Arabidopsis thaliana: one gene and its partners. The protein of the gene in region 3 interacts with the protein of the main gene of each other region in a biochemical or structural test. Each region holds a gene or a part of one and is shown on either strand. Other genes may lie near its edges.

Region 1 (4,418 bases), on a different chromosome or scaffold from region 3:
GTCCTTCCTCTCTTCCTCCACATCTTTTTTGTTCCCGTCCGACGTCGTTCCATCACCGGAAGGTTTCGCGGCGCAGGATCGCTTCTTCTTCTTCTTATGCTGGTTCTTCTGCTTCATTATCGTACAATTATAGATGAAATCGTGTCAACGCCGCTTCAATAGAATCTCTTCCGATCTGCAGAAGAAACTTAAACCCAGATTTCCGACGAGAAGCGTCGGAGAGAGGGAAGAGGCGTTTTAACCGTAAATCAGGAGTTAGTAATGGAGATGCCAATATCAGAGGAAATTTTTTGCTCGTCCAGACTTTTGATTGGGAATCGGAATCGCCACGTCAATCCACGCGCCTGATCGTGACCACGTTTTAAATCCACGCGCACGAATCAAACACCGAACACGGTTTCCTCCTGATTGTACATATATTGAACCGGTTCAACTATGCACCAGTCAAAATTAGATCTCCCACGTTGACTTTCGTAATTTTATCTCAGATTTGTTTTTGGTTTTTATATTAACTAGATAATGTGGCAACATGCGAATAGCAAATCATCTTATCCAAAACTTTTAAAACAAAATTTGACATCTTCATTTCGAATTTTGAAACGCGGAGTTGATAAACAAACTTTGCGGGAACGACCAGAAAGAGCGTTTGAAGACGCTGGTCAACGCGTTTTATACATTAAAATTTCCAAAATTCATCAACGTGTTGAAGCAAGCTTACACAACTCAGAAGAGCTTTGTTAGTAAAAAAAAGGTGATTCAAGATTCGTATTCACAGGGACCGATCATCACAAGAGTGACCATTGACCAATAACTTTGGTTGAAGTTGAGAGTCTACGCATGAAAACCGAGCTGGACTTAGACGCTCATGGAACTCGTTGTGATCGTTGTTATGGCTGCTAGATATGTTACACTGCTTCTTCCTTCTCTGTACCTCATCCTTGACTTTCTGCAAATCACAAAGACATATGTCACATAGAAATAACCGATGAAAGGGATGAATCCTTGTGCAGTGCAAACACAAACGCTATAAATCTTCTAATTTGCTTAATGTTCACTTGCACTAGCCAATGGTTCAATTATTATCCAATAACGCCCTCATTTCAACAGATACAACTACAAGAGATACACAGAAACACTCGCAAATACATCAAGAGATCCATACTTTTGAATTCTCTAATTGCTTAACCACATTGTTCGGTGAATGCTTAAACAACACTTTTTCCTGCATCTACCCTATGTTGAATGAAACTGCTCCTAGATTAACAATGAAGTAAAACAAGAAAAGACTCTCTCAGCAGCTGTGACTCGACAGAATCTCAAACAACAACTGTGAAGATTTGACACATTTTCAGATTGGAAACCTATCAACATCAAATACAGATTCTAGTTCACCCGCAAGATATAGGTTTGGCTGTATTGAAAGTAAGCTGCAAGATGTAACAGAGTTCTTTTGCTAGGATTATGTTAAAGACATTTGCATATCACTATCATCGGCTCTAAAAGTTCTTACTACTGTCTATTAGATTTGCAAATCTCTCACAGCATGCAATTCAGTAAGCTAATACGAGACCAAAAAACAAACCTGAAGCATCATCAAATCGAACTTTGGCTGACCAATATGCTCTACAGTGATGGAACCAAAGAGGTTCCCTAACAATGCAGCATCAGGAACAGTCAAACCTTCAACAAGCCCAACAATCAAACCTCCGAGAAAGCTGTCTCCGGCACCGGTAGGATCCACCTGCTTCGCCAAGAACGGAGGAACCGTCATTTCATCATCCTTATGATAAATCCTACACCCTTTTTCACCATTAGTCACCACCACACAACACAAGTGCTTCATTTGTTCAACATCCATGAAAAGAGCTTCGTCTGACGAAGCTTTCAAGAATCCAATTCGATGCAAGATGTGATAAAATCCACTTTCTTTCAAATCAACAAGCTTCACAGCTCCGTCAACAGGATCAAAAACCCTAATCAAAGCTTGAATATCCACAGCAACAACGTCACAGATCTCCACCATTTTCTCAAGCGTCTCCGGTAAAATCTCGCCGCCGACTCCAACGGCCATTCCGAAATCAAATCTCGAATCGGGTATATCCGAAGGAAGAATCGGATCACATGCAGAGACTCTTTTCAACACCCGATCAGCATGACCGATCCCATCGATTCCCAGATCGAAATACGCCTCGAAAACTGTTGTTTCCTTCTCCGGAGCCACGATCGGAGAGTGGGTGACCTCGTATCTGAAGTCGTGTCCTACTTTGGAGACCAAATCGCAGGAGACAGAGGAAGAATCTAAGACATTAGATATGAAAGAGGCGGCGCCGCCGAGAGTTTCAGCTACGACGGATCCGTTTTGGATTAAAACGTCGTGGCAATAATTTCCGACGATGAGAACGCGGCGATTGGGAATCCGACGCGGCGAGTGAGACGTTTGCTGCGACGGAGGAGGATTCAACGTCATGATCGCGGCTGGTGCAGAGGATCATCGAGAAAGTGAAGCAGAAGGAAGAAGAAGAATCATGGAATTAGTAAGACGAAGAAGCCGACCAACGAGAAGAAGAAGAAGAGACAAAACTAATGGCTATAAGCTAATACGTAACGTCTTGAGATTCGTTCCCTGCTCTCTGTCTTATGATATATGTGTCGCGAGGGAGATGACGCGCGCCTAATTTTCCTCCTTTTTTTTTTTGTAACCGAAATAAAATGATGTTAAATAATAAAATAGAGAATATGATCATTTTTCTCCAATTTTATTTTGTTCGAATTCCTTATTCTCCTCCACTTATCCAAGACAATTTCTTTTTGAAAAAGCTGTCACATACCAAAACAAGATTCGAAGCGCACGGCGGCTCAGTGGACTTTTAGTAGATGCTCCGATTCTGTTGTCGGGAAGAAAAGGACAACTAAACAGAGACGAAAGACGATTTATATGATTGCCATTACGAGTTATAGAAACAGAGAGTCAGGGGGTTTATTTATGAGACATGAGACATTTTGTTTAAGTCATGGTGACTTTTGAGTTTGTTATAATGGACATACTATTATAGCAACAAGAGTGGGACTATTATTTATTTAGTCAGAACGAATACCGCCCATGAAGCTCCTTGGATCTGGACAATTACCCGAGAACTGAGCTTGCGAGAAGTCGAATCCCGGGTTCTGCAAAAACCAACAGAGAAAGAACATGTAAAAGGAAAGTTGGTCGAAAGAGTAAAGAAAAGCATACTTGAGCTCAATACAAAGTAAATAGAAACTCATGCATACAAGCAGAAACAAAACCAATAAGACAAAGCCATTAAGGCATACATGAATCACACCCATGTGTGCAGTCTTGCCATGTTAATTTGCTCAATCCGGTTAGACTAAGGCTGAGCAATTTCATCCACCATAGCTTTACTATCACCAGCTCTATGCAGACTGTTTATTCATGAAACTGATAAAAATCCGGCTACACTATAGGTTTACTATCACCAGCTCTATGCAGACTGTTTATCCATGAACACAAAAGATTCACTACTTGAGAGAGACATAAGAAACAAAATAAGAGAGCTTGAACAAAGAAAACAATCATGGGACATGACTCATCCAAAACGATCATTTATGGCAAAGTAATCATACTTTGACATAGATTCATTCTACTCAGTAGTGGTGCCTAAGATTTGCTTTGGAGATCAATTAGAAGACCTAGAAAACAACATTTATTTTTTCAAAAGCAGAAACCATATGAAACCAAGAGGACTTTTACAGGTAGCTAACCTCTTCTTGAAACCTCTGGAGCATGAGCCGCTTCTGCTCAAGATCAGTGGCGTAAGGATCTAACTGACCCTGTCCCAGAATCGGTGATGCCCATGTTTGCCCTTTCTCCCTCTTCTGCAGGGTAATGTGCATTATATCATCCTCTGCCAAATCAAACATAACAATCCAGATTAGCAATCAGTGCCAGACTATGAACCTAAAAAAACTATGCCAGTAACTTACATACGCTGATAATATAACCCAAAATATACTGTACATTCCATCATCCCTCCATTAGTCTCAAATTTTCCACATTCCAAACTATATGTCCCACTATTTATACCAAACTCAGATCACATTTCCAGGTTCAGTTTATCCTCTCTAGCAATAGTGAACGGGTCTAAAAACAGAAACCTAACCATCAAAAACAAGCACCCAATACAGACACAAAAACAAAAAATGGAGTACCTAGAGTCCAGAACGAGCAATCAGTCTTCACAGGAGCACTAAGATCGTGCTGAAAATTGACAAAATTTAGACAATTGAATCGAGTTATATATACCACATCGAATAACTCAGATTTATGAGACAAACGGATCAAAAACATTGAAAGATAGCGAAAGAAACTGACATTGAGATAGGGAGGGTTGCCTTTGATGCCAACTTCGATATGTTTC
Region 2 (5,211 bases), 5.5 Mb from region 3:
ATCTCCTTTGTGGGCTACCGATGAATTCTTCAGCTACTCTGATCTTGACTGCAGTAATAAGGTGAGAACTGGTTTACCAAACTGATGAATACTCAAATATCCTGGTTTGTAACTTGTTTTGACAACTATATAAATCACTTGTTGTACATTAGGAGAAAGAGCAACTCGATCTCGGGGAGCTGGATTGGCTTGCAGAGATGGGTCTGTTTGGTGACCAGCCTGATCAAGAGGCTCTACCGGTAGCCGAAGTTCCCGAGCTTTCCTTTTCACATTTGGCTCATGCTCATTCCTACAACAGACCTATGAAGTCCAATGTACCCAACAAGAAGCAGAGGCTTGAGTACCGGTATGATGATGAAGAAGAGCACTTCCTAGTCCCCGACCTAGGCTAAACTATGGATGAATCTACTAAGCTTTATAATATATAGCACTTGATTCGCATAGTCTTCGGCTCTTCGCCTTGCTTTCTCCATGATCTGATATGTGTATCACTGTAAGTAGCAGGCTAAAACTTGGAAAAACCTTATCATTTTATTAGCAAGTGAAGCCTTAAATTGCAACATACGTCTTTTCTAAATCATTACATTTGAAGAAGAGAAACAAAAACAGAGCGGAATGCCGAATTTGTTTCTCTTCTCGATTCAACCATCCGAAAACAAGAATACAAAAAGAGAAGATAATCGCGGAAACAGATTACGTAATAGAAGCTTGAGTTGTTTTGTTTCTATTTCTTTTCGAGAAAGCTCCGAACTTCAGCATCTGAGGGAAGAGCTGGAATGGCTCCTTTTTTGGTCGTTGTGATTGCTCCACAAGCATTTGCGAATCTCAGCACTTTCCTCAATCTCTCTTCGTCCTGTTCAAATAAACCCAACAAGTCATTAGATATTGAAGTTAGAACCTATATATATATCTTGTAGCTAAGAAAGATTCATCCAATGAATGCACATTGATTAATTGGATGCTTCTTTCGAATATCATACCTCGAGAACGGATCGATCATCGACAATCTGGTTTAGAAGAGCACCGACAAAGGAATCTCCAGCTCCGGTTGTGTCCACAGCGTTCACATGGAAAGGGTCAACGGCTCCTTTGAAAGTCTACACAATTTGGTAAGAACATATAAGAAGAGAAACATATTTTTGTGGAAGGTCACAGAGTAACTGCCGTAAAGAAGTAAAAAAAATAGCATGTGATTCGGCAAATGAGAAAAGCAAAAGTAACTCCCCTTTCTTGACATTAACATTTGTCATGTTTGATTAAACCAAGAACCTTAGAGATCACGACTTTTGCTGTACCCCTTAATTGATTAGAATAGTATTAATCTTTTGGAGGGTCCACGGCTAATATTAAATTTCTTATTCATCAGTTGGTGAGATCTACCAAACCTACTAAAAAACCCACTAATAATTTAATCAAAGTTGAAGAATTGATTCCAGCAGCAGTATTCAAATACCTTGTGTATCTCGAGAATCCTATTTTAAAAAGATGTTAACATAAAAGCAATCCTGAAACTATATTCTATAACACACTAGTTTTGCCTTCTGGTATCACCTAATGGACACAACAAACAAAGCATAACCAAGAGACAACTATGCTGATGATACTGATAATAATGGTGATAATGATGAATGATGACGGTAAATGCATAAAAATATTCAAGTGTGTTTGTTACCTTGGTGTAATACCGACAGCCCTTTTCACCAAGAGTGACTAACAACAGCTTCAAGTTGGGATGCCACAAGGTCAACGCGGTCTCATCATCAATCTTGTTGCTTCCAGTTAGAAACTCAAGCTCAACATCGCTCACCTTGATGATCTCAGCTTTGTCCCAAATGCTCATGATCTGTGTTTTGGCTTCTTCTTTTGATGGCCACAGAGGCTCCCTGAGGTTTGGGTCATAGGAAAGAAGAGCTCCTGCTTCTTTCGCCACTTCCATGGCCTTCAAATGAGCTGACCTACACGGCTCCACTATCAAACTTATTGATCCATAGTGAAACACTTTCGCCTACACAAAAACACACCACATCATGGGACACAAAAACGTCAAAATAACAGAAAAAAACAAAACCAAGGTTGGTACCAAAAACAACTCACAAAATAACACAACTTAGATCATAAGGAATATAATTGTCAAGGGACCCAATTGTGGTTTATGTTTTGAATATTAACTACGACAAGGGTCAATCATTATCAAACTATACAAGAAAAGCAAAAGATCCTCGCCATGAAATTAGCTGTAAAGGTAAATGTACACAAAAATACTCAACCTGGCATCATTTCACACCATTGCTATAAAAAACCAAACTTTACACGTATATGTGCACATTTACTTTTAATCACATATTCACATCATAAACCTAAAAATACTCAAGACTTTAATATAGATCAATAAGAAGAACACATATTAAGCTCAGTAAAAAAACTACTCAAGGGAAACATGTCACTAGAATTGAGCTAAGATGGTGATGGTTAACTACACGGCCAAAAAGGTTATAGCCTTTTAATTTGAAGTTGTTTTGGGTAAAAACTGAAAGATGAAGAAATTGGAGAAATCACGTGGTATCACGTGGATCTAAATAAGACCCGCGAAAATAAAAAAGATCTAAGAGAAAAGTCACCGCCAGTGAGTGAGATCATCTTCTACGTTTTCTAAATTCAATAACGCGATTCCCAATAACTAACACTCCTAATCGAATTTCGTTTCTGCGTTTCCCAGAAAATTTAAACTAAAAATCCTCTAGATCTGGCTTTCTACAATCCCAAAATCGTAAAAATCTATAGCGAAGAGAGAGAGATTTAAAACGTACGGATCTGATGAGGTCGAGATTGAGTTCATCAGGACGAAGAAGCATATCGGCGCTAGGATTGCGGTAAAACATAAACTCACGATCTCCATCAGCACGTAACGTAACGAAAGCTAAAGCAGTTCTAGCTCCAGTATCGAAGTTAATCCCCTGATCATCAACACCGTTCTTCCTCAAAATCCCAGCCAACATATGACCGAACTCGTCGTCTCCAAGTTTTCCGACGAAAGCAGATCGTCCACCGAGACGAGAAACAGCGATTGCGACGTTAGCGGGAGCACCGCCTGGAGCTTTGAGGAATCCAGGAGCTTCGGCGAGAGAGACGCCTGATTCGGTAGGGACGAAATCGATTAGCATCTCGCCGAAGCTAACGATCAGTCCTTTATCACCGTTGGATGCCATTTAGATCAGAGATCTGTGAAATCGTTGGATCAAATCGGAGAATTGAGAAAAATATAGAGAGTAAGGAAGGACAAGGAGAAGAATACATAAAAATGAGAGGAAGGAGAAGAATGGTTTATATAGAGAACGATGGGACTGGTGTACAAAGGCTTGCTACTGATATATTATTAACGTATTTTATTATATAAGATACAAATATATCTCGTAAAAAAAACCATGAGTTTCTGTGGTTTTTTTAATAAAATGAAAAAATCTTTTAACGTTTTTCGACCTTTGCCTGAGTATTTGATTTGATCCGAAAAATAAAATAAAAAAATCGTGTATGAATATAGTAGTCAATAATATGTTGCGTAAAAAATAAACTTACTACAAATTTGGTGTCAGGTTAAGAGGATAATGACAAAACACCAACAAGATACTCTCACGTGTTATGGAAAATATTTATTCGAGTGTTTTACTTTTAACTGTATAGAAGAATTTACCATGAAATTTGTAGGTGATTGTTCTAGTGAGAAACGTAGTAGATGTGTGTGGATAGACAATTGCAACCATTAGGTCCATTACAGTGGAAGTTTAACTCGATTGTGGGTTTTGCCTTTTGGTAAGAAAGTAATGAAATAAATATGTGTCATCTAACATAGAAATAAAGTAAAGTCAAGAATGATATTTATTTTTTTACCGACGGGTGAAAAAATCACGTTAAATAAGTAACTGAAGCGTCACTGGGGTGTTGTTGACAAGTTGAACTATTTATAATCAAACTGGTTTACTTTCGAAAACCTGTGGATTCCTCTGTTTAGTTTCCATAAAACCAGCAACGGATCACGAAACGGCCAATGTCAATAGAGATTTTCTCTGTTTAATGTAAATAATCCTTTTTTGTTTCTAATAAATCTCGAGATTTGCTTTAAAATATTTATTCTTACATATCTTTAAGAAAAGAAAAAGACAAAACGATTTTCACATAATCAATCGAGTTGCTTTGTTACAAATATTAGCACAGAGCCAAACATTGTTAGGACCATTGGTCCTATACACTTTAATGATCAACACAAATTGTTTTACTTTTACATCATACACTAAGCTACAAAAGAAGAGGCTGTAAAGCAAACGACGTCTGTTTCCGTTGTTGTTGGTCTGTTGATTTCATTGTTGTAGTAGTAGCTGTGGCGGTTGTTATGTGGTCATGGAGGATTAAGAGTTTCAGTGTGGCTGATTCACGCAGCCAAGTTGCTACCACCGAACCGCTTGATGTGAACCGTCCCATGTTGCATTTTGACAGGTGGAATGGTGCATCCATTCCCCTCAAAAGAACTTCAACCGCTCGTCTTAGTGCTCCGTCTCCAACCACTTTGCTGTGTTTCCCCCAGCCAGTCAATATACTGCCACAATAAGAAAAAGTTATTAACAAGTTTTGAACTAACCCAGATAGTGATAAAAGTTGAGGGGATCACAAAAGATTTGCGAAACATGACCACATCACATAAGCAAAGTATCTACAGAGACACTATAATCATAGTGTATGACCAAAAACTTCAACCTATCACAAGAAAACATAGCATCATCAAGGACATGCTGCATATCAGATTTCGGAAAAGAAGAGATTGGACTTAATTCTCGGGCCCTGATGGAGTTTTAGGAAGCAACCATAAAAGGAAAAGAGCCGGGTATTATAGGCCGGTTTAAGTTGATAGTTAAACCGAAGAGCTCTTTGTAGCTTACCTCAAGACTTTAGGTAACTCATGACCTTCATAGACAATGGAGCGTATGTTTAGTAGCCACGCATGGACCATTGCACGTGCAGCTCCAGAAGACATGAGGTGTAAGTCCAAGCAAGAATCAGACCACACGTTTTCCCAAACTTGCCTAGATCTTCCCTCAAGTGCCACCAGTTCTGCACCTCGTTTCTATAGCAGAAGGTTCCCAAAAGTAAGCCTTTGTACTAATAGTAACGCATTAAAAAACGGTTACAAAATTTGGCCTCTACAATATCAGTGTTATTTTA
Region 3 (4,524 bases):
TAAAAAGGGTGAACATATTTTAATCATATTTCTCTTTTCTCTTCTCAACATAACTTAAACTTTTATTGTTCCTTAAAAGACCACGTCAGCATAATTCACTACACTTCTGTTTTCTTCACGCGCCTTAAACATGAATGAAAGAGTTGGGTGAAGGAGTGTGTGGTGAAAGAGTGTGTTGTCATTACACACACCTCATGTGTTACTCTCTGAATTCGGCAACTTATGGTGCTAGATATTTAATTTCTTTTCAGGAATTGGTTATTTAGCTAATTCACCTTTGAAATAAATACACTTATAAAATAAAGTATTTTTAAAACACACTAGTCTTCATATTGGAACTGAAAAAAATAGCACACTTCCTTAGATCATTATTTATAAGATTACTAATATATTCTGAAATTGTTTTGGTAGTACTAAAAAGAACGAAAAATATGAAGTGACACATTATCCAATCTTCCCTTATAATGAATTGAAAACATGTTTGGCGGCTTTTTAAAGGTAGGATAAAAACTAGAGAAAATAACATCTATACTTTTATTAGTTTATACTTTATAGTATGAGAGTATCTAAACTATAAAAAATTATTTCGTGTGGCTAGCAAGTGGGCAATGGCAAAGCTATACAAAATACAAGAGTTGGCCTGAAAATCAGTAGTAAAACTCATCAACTCAAAGATAATGTAACAAAAACAAGCCTTAACTTACTTAGTAACAAACAGTCACATTTACAAAGTGGTAAAGATACTGAGAGCCACTTTTCAAACTCTGTTACTACTACTCACTCACTGCAACTAAATCAAACCAGACGAGATCAAAGCACCGGGCTTTTTATCGATCTGTTCCCGCGTTTGTGGACTCGCTATATATAACATAACATCAAAGCTGCATTTTAGAAAGCAAAAAAAAAAAAAACTGGAAAAAGCTTACTCTTAATGATCATTGATGTTGATTTAGGCATTTGAGATTTCAGCTTCAGGGTGGTAATAAAGCATCTCATTCCACATCATCTCTCTTATCACTGGTTCCTCCATGTTTTCATCTATGTCCAGAGAGATTGGGACATGTGCAGGCGGATTGGATCCAGGATCAAACAACCCCGCCATATACGGGTGTAAGAGCGCATCGGTTACAGAGATTCTCTTGGTTGGATCAAACACAAGCATCCTCTGTAACAAATCTATAGCTAGAGGATTGGCTTGTGGATAAAGATTGGAGAGATGAGTTCCTCTTGAGTACGGAAGAGACTTTATAAACCTTCGAGCTTTCGGGTTGTCTATGAACCGAATATCAGATTCTTGTTGGCTACCAACAACGTTGATGATTAGCTTAAGCTGATTCAAGCATTCTGTTCCTGGAAAAATCGGTTTCCTACCAAGAATCTCCGCGAATATGCAACCAACCGACCATACATCAATGGAGGTTCCATAGTTATCACAACAAAGAAGAAGCTCAGGTGCTCTGTACCAACGTGTAACCACATACTCAGTCATGAACTGTTCATTACCTTGGCTCGTTCTCGCCAACCCGAAATCACAAATCTTGAGATCGCAGTTCGCATTAACTAAGAGGTTCCCGGGCTTCAAATCCCGGTGAAGTATGTTTGCAGAATGAAGATACTTCAACCCTCTAAGCAACTAAACACAACAACAAGAACAAGACTTATTTCAATAACTAAACATACAAAACTCGAAACATAGAGTTACCGAGGAAGGACTTAAAGTTACCTGAAACAAGAAGTACTTGCAGTGATCATCAGAAAGAGACTGAGAGGATTTAATAATCTGATGAAGATCAGTATCCATTAGCTCATAAACCAAATAAACATCCTTGAAACTGGATCTATTAGCAGGCAACATAACATCTTTAAGCGCGATCACATTCTCATGCCTCACATGCCTAAGAAGTTTAAGTTCCCTCAACGTTCTCAAAGCATCAACACGATTCTCAAACACATTGTGAATCTTTTTAATAGCAACTCTCTCATTAGTCTCACGATTGATAGAAGAACAAACCACACCATAAGCTCCTCTTCCAATGGGTTTAATCGGAACATACTTTGTATCGATTTCGAACAATGTTTGCCACATGGAGTAGTAATGTTTCCCTTGTTGCTTAATCCCATTTGGTGGCTCAACTAACATCGCCATTTTCTCTCTGCAAAAACCAAAACTTTCAGTATTTTTCCCCTAAATTGGTAAGATTTTGGAAAAGGGTTTATAGAGAATTTTCGATTTATGAATCATTGAAGCTTTTTTCTCCTTTACGTCTCCAAAAAGTGAAATTCAACTAAGAAAAATTCTCTTTTTAATATCGTTTCCTTTACTTAGCTATCAATCTTACTACTCCATAAGAAAAAAGCAAACTTTGGTTATAAAAATTCTCTTTTTAATATGATAACTCTTGATTAATCATAATCAAAACTCAAAAATTAAGAGTTAAAACAAGCTAAATGAATAAAGAGAAGAAACAGAACAAGAGATCGAACATACCCAATAACTGAATTTACAGAACCCGAGTCGTTGTTGTTGTTGTTAATGATCAGAGATGAAAGAAGAGAAGGGTATGATTGGATCTGAATTGAGATTGCTTCTTCATAGCTAAAACAAGAAGAGATAAGAGAGAGAAGAGTTAGGAAGTGGTGAGACCCATACGGGGAATGGAATGTTAGGGGAAGAGGAAGAAGAAGAAGAAGAAAGGAAGCAAAATACGTTGGTTGATGAAGAAGCTTTGGTTACTTCTTTTCGTTTTTTAGGAAAAAAACAAATTACAAAGTCTTCTAATTACGAAAACGACATTCTTTTTAGATTAGATATTTTTTGTGTAACAAAACTTCAGTTACAAACTATCTTTAATTAAAAAATCTCTAAAGTTTAATGGACTCTTCATGTTTTTTTTTTGCATACAAATCAGGATTGTTATTACTATATTTGGTAATTAGAAAAAAATAATGCATAGGAATTTTTGTAATTAATTAAAAAGATTGAGTAAGATATTTATTAAGTAGAATTTGTCTTGGTATAATATACGTACACGAATACAGAAATTGAGGATTTAAATGGATCAAGTAACCGGCTAAGCACGTGGGTGGACTGAAAAAGTGACACGTGGTAAACGTAGATTGGGAGCAACTTCTTGTTGTTGTCCGAACCGAAGTTTCCACTGGGTGTAGTTAAACCTAACTTAAAAGCCTCAAAAAGTGGTCAACTACAAAACCACTCTTGGTTTGAAGACCTTCTGTCTCTTTCGGAGAGGTTTGAGGATTAGATTAAAAAAAGGATAAGTGTGGCTGATGGATTTAACATCAGATGATGACATAACTAATTTGAGTGGCAAATGGTTGAGTAAACCTATCAGTTGACGAACGCAGATTATCAATCAACTTTGAGTTTCTCCATAGATCTTCGAAGATTCTGTCTCTCCAAACCATCAAGCCCCAATTCATCTTCAACCCTAGTAATTTAGTTTATATAAAGTGTACTTGAATTTTATACGTTGATGTTAAAAATGTTTGCACACTAATCTTTTGTACAAAACTACTTTACAAAATATATTTCTTATAAATTCATTGTTTTCTTTTGTACAAATCAAACATGATCTCGCATATGATGCGGATAAGTGGTAACATCTAAGGATGATATATATATACAGAGACATAACAAAATTCTTTCTTTGGAGATTCTCTTAATTTTAATGTGACTGTAAGATTTAAGTTAATGACATGAGTGCATTGGCCACCTCTAACTCCACTAGAGGCTTCTTCTTCCTCATGTTCCTCACTTACCAAGTGAACTGCACATGGAGATAAAAAGTAAAACAGAACACCATTTTAAACACCAAAACAAAAATTAGTTAAGTAGGCATTGATTTGAAAGCGGACCAGCTTCTTCTTCTTCTTCTTTCTCTCAACGTATGCCACAAGGTCCTCTTGTCGGGTAAGAGAATCATCAAGAGCCTGTGAAGATACAACAACTCTTTAGTGTGAGATAGTGAAAGCTGAGAACAAATCAGTAATATATATGAAAGTTTTTTTTGTTTTGTGTTACCTTCTTGGTTGCAGCAAGTTCTTGTTCCAAGAAATCGGCTCGGCTAATGGCAGCATTAAGCATCTCTTCCTTTTCAGGAGGCATAGTTGCTGGCTGTGCACTCAAGTTTGTGACTTTCTGCTCAAGCTCAGCCATTCGTTTCATGACCGCCATGAAATCTTCCCCTGAGATGGTTGTTGTTGCCATTTTCTTCCCATGCATCGAGCTCTTGTTCATCGAGTTTTCGTCGCAGTAAACCGGGCTAGAGTATATAGTTGACTCGGTTAGCTTCCTTGGAACGTTTTTAGTCACTCTAATCATGGTGACTACACCCATTACAAAAGCCATGACTCCAGTGAAAATAGGAGACCTTCCACTTTCATTTGTAGCTTTGCAAGCTTCTTGAATGGCGTAAACATCCCCTGTTCAAAAACAGAGAAGTACTTAAATTCAAGTTCTTTTAAAAAGGAGTAGTATTTGTCTCTTTAGTAGTGTAATTTGCA
Region 4 (4,616 bases), on a different chromosome or scaffold from region 3:
GATTGATATCAGGAATAACATATTGGCAGCTAAAAAGAAATGGGAAGAAGCTGGTTTTACAATGTCAAGAATGACTGATATTCACGGTAATGAAGAAACAAACGAGGAAGAAGAAGATATCTGGGAGGAGGATGATGGCAAGGTTAAAACTGATTCAGTCAAGAACGTGGCTCATGTGATGAGAACTCAGCAGAGTGAGAATTCATCTTTACCATCATCAGGTGAAGCAAAGAAGTCTACATCAGAAGCTAGGTCCAATAAAGTGTCGAACACTAAAAAAGTTGGAAGCAGTGGAAACTCTCTTAGAGACAAGCTAATTTCTGAAGCGCCTGTGATGAATTGGGGATCACAGTTGACTAATTGGGAATCAACTACGGAAGTTCGAGCTAATTACCGGGGTTTAGAGATCGAGAGCCACTGGGGCAGGGTGGATCAAGATGCTATAATTCCAGCAGATAAAATAGCAGAATTGAATCTTCAGGCAACCGTGTATAGAGAAGAGAGAACAGAGACACCTCCATGCCGTGCTTCTCTAAAGAAAGGTGGTCTTTGCCAGAGAAGAGATCTCAGAGTCTGTCCGTTTCACGGACCCATTGTACCCCGGGATGATGAAGGAAACACCATAATCCAGGAATCTCCATTAGATGAGAGTGAAAACCAAACTTCTTCAACTTCAGGGACCAACCAGGATGTGTCTATGGATGAAACAACTTCAGATTCTGATCCTAATCAGTTAGCTAGGCAAATAGCGAAAGAGGCTCTGAAGAATATCCGGGAGAAAGACAAAGAAGTGGTGAGGAAAAGAGCAAAGCTTGTTAAGGTTAAGGTTAAGGAACACAATCATGAAGTTCTGCGTGGTGCGGCAATAGCCTCAACTTCTAGATCGAATGCTATGGATGATGAGTTTGATAGAGTTTTTGCTGAAAAGAAAAACAAGAAGCAAACCTTTTCCACAAGGCGTAAGAAAACAACGGCTAAAGATAGAATATCCCAGAGACTGTTTAGTAATCGAGTAAAAGGTACTAATCCACAGCAGTTGGCTCAGGGCAATGATGAAAAGTGCCGGGATACATCGGCTAACCAGTGGTAACAAATAACTAAAATCTTTCTAGTTTTGATCCAGTAGTGCCTTAAATTTGATTGTTTGATGCAAATAGGAGTAAAAAGCTAAAGAATATTTGATGAATGAATAATCAGATCCGCTTGTGATCTCTTGTAGCTGTGAAAACAGTTCTTAAGTCAAGTCCCAGATTCTTTGAAGCTTTATATTTTTCTCAGACAAAAGTCACAAAACCCAACAGAAAGATAATAGTACAATTGACATGTTCTGTTAAAAAGCAACGACAGATCATTGAAGCTGGATGGATCGTTGTTGTTCGCTTTTTTCTTTTTCTTTTATGTGGTGTGTTTAAGGATGATATCACTCATGAGACCGATCACTGATGAGAAGCAATTATTAATTGAATAATTTGCTTTTAAGATTGTGAGAGTTTGCTTGAGATGAAGAAGAGTAAAATGTTCATTTACATTATCATTGGTCTTTGAAGTGACTTTGAACCCAAGCCACATCCCATTACTTATTATTCCTCTTATGAATTTCATATTCTTAAACCGTCTAATTTTACCTAAATACATCTCTTAAAGTTTTTGTTAAAGTAAACAGAAAGATGAGCATGTTTTTCATGAATCTTTGAATTTAGCTGTCATTTTAGAAGTTGAAAATCATTTTTCTTGTACAAAGGAAAAGAAATTGTTTGAATTAAAAGTAAAAAAAGAACACACAATAATGATAGACAGAATCCCACTAGAGAGAAAAACATCTAGAATAAAAAAAAAGAAGCAATCATGTGCACCATGTACATATTTAGGCCCATCTCTACTGGATCATGGCCCTTTAATTAAAAACAAAGAAATCATTGAGTGAGAGAGGATATACTGTACGTATATTATTAGAATATGATTATTTTTCCCCTATCCAGTAAATTCTTCTGAATCTCTTATAATTCAATTTGTTTCCAAATAACATTCTCTCTTTAACACAGCCGCCTTTGTGACCGTCCGATCTTAAATCAGCGTTTCCGGTTCATTTGACGGCAACTATCTCTCTCTCTCTCTCTAGAGAATTGATGAAGAAGAGCATCTATCTTTTTTGTTTTTGAAAATTAACAACACTTCACGAGGGTTGACCTGTTTCGGTGGTGTTTCTTCAATTCCGGATTTTGATCTTTCGTTTCGATCGAAGATCAATCAAAGTCTCCACCTTTCTTCAATGGATTTGGATAGCATGGACTGTACATCAACCATGGATGTGACAGATGATGAAGAGATCCACCAAGATCGCCATTCCTACGCTTCTGTTTCCAAGCATCATCATACTAATAACAACACCACCAACGTTAATGCTGCTGCTTCTGGGCTTCTCCCTACCACCACCAGTGTTCATGAGCTTCTCGAATGTCCTGTCTGCACCAATTCTATGTACCCTCCCATTCATCAGGTCTTTCTTTTCAATCCCTTGTTCTCTGATTTCGTTTCCCCGGATCTTTAATTTGTTGATTTTGTTTAGGGTTTTGAGTTAATGATGTGAATCATGGATGTTGAAGCAGTGGTTGTGTTGCTCTTGTAACTTGAAATTTAGTTTTATCCATTCACTAATGGCTACAATTGAAACAATTGTCACTAAATTTTGTCAATAGCTTTGATAGTTTCTAAGATTCTTCTTATTGTTTCTTTAGAGAATTATGGAATAACAGATAGACAATTATTTGATTTCCCTACAGTGTCACAATGGACATACGTTGTGTTCAACCTGTAAAGCCAGGGTTCACAACCGCTGCCCAACTTGTAGACAAGAGCTCGGTGATATCCGTTGTTTGGCACTGGAAAAAGTAGCCGAATCACTTGAACTACCTTGTAAACACATGTCACTTGGATGTCCTGAAATCTTCCCTTATTACAGTAAGCTCAAACATGAGACTGTATGTAACTTCAGACCTTATAGCTGCCCTTATGCTGGATCCGAGTGTTCTGTTACGGGCGATATCCCTTTCTTAGTTGCTCATCTGAGGGATGATCATAAGGTGGATATGCATTCTGGGTGTACTTTCAACCATCGTTATGTCAAGTCTAATCCTCGTGAAGTCGAAAACGCCACATGGATGTTAACTGTAAGTACATATGAATCGTGCTTCATAGTATACACTTAGATAAGTTAGGAGGCTTTGTTTAAAGTAATAGGATTATATTTGTGATAAAATTTGATCTGTCTGGTATAAACTGTAATGTGATCAGCTGAGTCAAATTTTGCTTTTGTTGCGAGTTAGCTTTCCTAGAGAAGGTCCAGTTATTTATCTAATCTATGGTTGTGAATTGTGAATCTTCCATCTCGCTATACATGTTGACTTGATATACTTTAATGCTTATCAAGGTTTCCTCTGTTTTGGTTTTGTTTCTGGTTCAAAAATGAAAATCAGGTCTTTCACTGCTTCGGTCAATACTTCTGTCTTCACTTTGAGGCATTCCAGCTCGGAATGGCTCCAGTCTACATGGCGTTCCTGCGTTTCATGGGGGACGAGACAGAAGCTCGAAACTACAATTACAGTTTAGAAGTGGGAGGTTATGGTCGGAAGCTGATATGGGAAGGAACACCAAGAAGCGTAAGAGACAGCCACAGGAAAGTTAGAGACAGTCATGATGGACTAATTATACAAAGAAACATGGCTCTCTTCTTCTCAGGTGGAGATAGGAAAGAGCTGAAACTTCGAGTCACTGGAAGGATATGGAAAGAGCAACAACAAAGTGGTGAAGGTGGAGGAGCTTGTATCCCAAACTTGTCTTGAAAATTAAAAAAAAAAAATCAAACTGATTTTGAAAACCTCACCGATTTGGCCTTGTCTCTGTAACCATGGTTATCTGTAATTAGGGTTTTCTCTGACGATAAACTTGGGGTTGTTCTTATGTATCTCTCTCTGTCTTTCTCATGTCATGGAGGTTTTTTTATTATAAAATATATAGTTCATTACAATTCTGCTATATCTGGAGGAAAAACGTAAAATGTTGAACCTTTTACTTTTATCAACTGTAGTGTTCATAAATTTATGTAATGCTTGTGTTGTGTCCACGAAACGACGACGTTTCATCATTGTTCTGTTAAACCCAGCTTTTGGAACTTGGAAGTGATGAGCTTTATATCTGGAAAATGTAAAATGTTGAACCTTTTTTCAACTGTAGTGTTGTTCAAAGGCGTTAGCTTTGTTTAAGAAACGACGACGTTTCATCATTGTTCTGTTAAACCCAGCTTTTGGGGGTTTTCTCACTCGGAAGTGAGCTTTATCCCTTTGGTTTCCATCAATGGAGGTTCTACTAAACTCCAATGATGGTTTCTTCAATTTCTCGTCTTTCTCGTCCAATTCGAACAGGAGACTCGCTAACCAACGTCGATTCAACTTGCCCATCTCCAAATTCCACTACTATCGCGTTTCAATTCTCCGAGTCTCGGCTCGGTTCGGAGAGACCTCGAGGCGACGTAATTCGCTGAGGAAGAAGATCATCGGTGATGAGTATTGGCGTTCGACTCCGAAATCTTCTGAACCAGGTACGAAACCTCTAAACGAAAG

What was found.
Region 1: of the proteins of MPK7 (region 3) and Mik, one has a biochemical effect on the other in vitro, tested with the Arabidopsis thaliana proteins (one large-scale study listed by BioGRID).
Region 2: of the proteins of MPK7 (region 3) and AT2G31390, one has a biochemical effect on the other in vitro, tested with the Arabidopsis thaliana proteins (one large-scale study listed by BioGRID).
Region 4: of the proteins of MPK7 (region 3) and AT3G61790, one has a biochemical effect on the other in vitro, tested with the Arabidopsis thaliana proteins (one large-scale study listed by BioGRID).

Annotation. Positions count from the first base shown.
Region 1 is NC_003076.8:23,722,858-23,727,275, forward strand, and holds Mik (pfkB-like carbohydrate kinase family protein), read right to left. Parts: upstream 2,729-4,418; 5' UTR 2,468-2,728; coding exon 1,583-2,467; intron 947-1,582; coding exon 770-946; 3' UTR 547-769; downstream 1-546. Other genes in the region: AT5G58720 (smr (Small MutS Related) domain-containing protein), read right to left, coding at 1-117; AT5G58740 (HSP20-like chaperones superfamily protein), read right to left, coding at 3,079-3,165, 3,763-3,905, 4,210-4,258, 4,373-4,418. UniProt on the Arabidopsis thaliana protein: Kinase that phosphorylates myo-inositol to produce multiple myo-inositol monophosphates. Participates in phytic acid biosynthesis in developing seeds. Phytic acid is the primary storage form of phosphorus in cereal grains and other plant seeds.
Region 2 is NC_003071.7:13,382,911-13,388,121, forward strand, and holds AT2G31390 (pfkB-like carbohydrate kinase family protein), read right to left. Parts: upstream 3,483-5,211; 5' UTR 3,207-3,482; coding exon 2,808-3,206; exon of another isoform or gene 2,006-2,807; coding exon 1,673-2,005; exon of another isoform or gene 1,098-1,672; coding exon 981-1,097; intron 854-980; coding exon 725-853; 3' UTR 513-724; downstream 1-512. Other genes in the region: STH (salt tolerance homologue), read left to right, coding at 1-61, 153-392; GUN1 (s uncoupled 1), read right to left, coding at 4,291-4,588, 4,929-5,113.
Region 3 is NC_003071.7:7,907,229-7,911,752, forward strand, and holds MPK7 (MAP kinase 7), read right to left. Parts: upstream 2,813-4,524; 5' UTR 2,489-2,812; intron 2,154-2,488; 5' UTR 2,147-2,153; coding exon 1,724-2,146; intron 1,634-1,723; coding exon 950-1,633; 3' UTR 546-949; downstream 1-545. Other genes in the region: AT2G18180 (Sec14p-like phosphatidylinositol transfer family protein), read right to left, coding at 3,826-3,951, 4,043-4,443. UniProt on the Arabidopsis thaliana protein: MKK3-MPK7 module acts as a positive regulator of PR1 gene expression.
Region 4 is NC_003074.8:22,871,197-22,875,812, reverse strand, and holds AT3G61790 (Protein with RING/U-box and TRAF-like domain), read left to right. Parts: upstream 1-1,979; 5' UTR 1,980-2,269; coding exon 2,270-2,497; intron 2,498-2,780; coding exon 2,781-3,167; intron 3,168-3,473; coding exon 3,474-3,839; 3' UTR 3,840-4,116; downstream 4,117-4,616. Other genes in the region: AT3G61800 (ENTH/VHS protein), read left to right, coding at 1-1,090; emb1703 (embryo defective 1703), read left to right, coding at 4,351-4,616. UniProt on the Arabidopsis thaliana protein: E3 ubiquitin-protein ligase that mediates ubiquitination and subsequent proteasomal degradation of target proteins.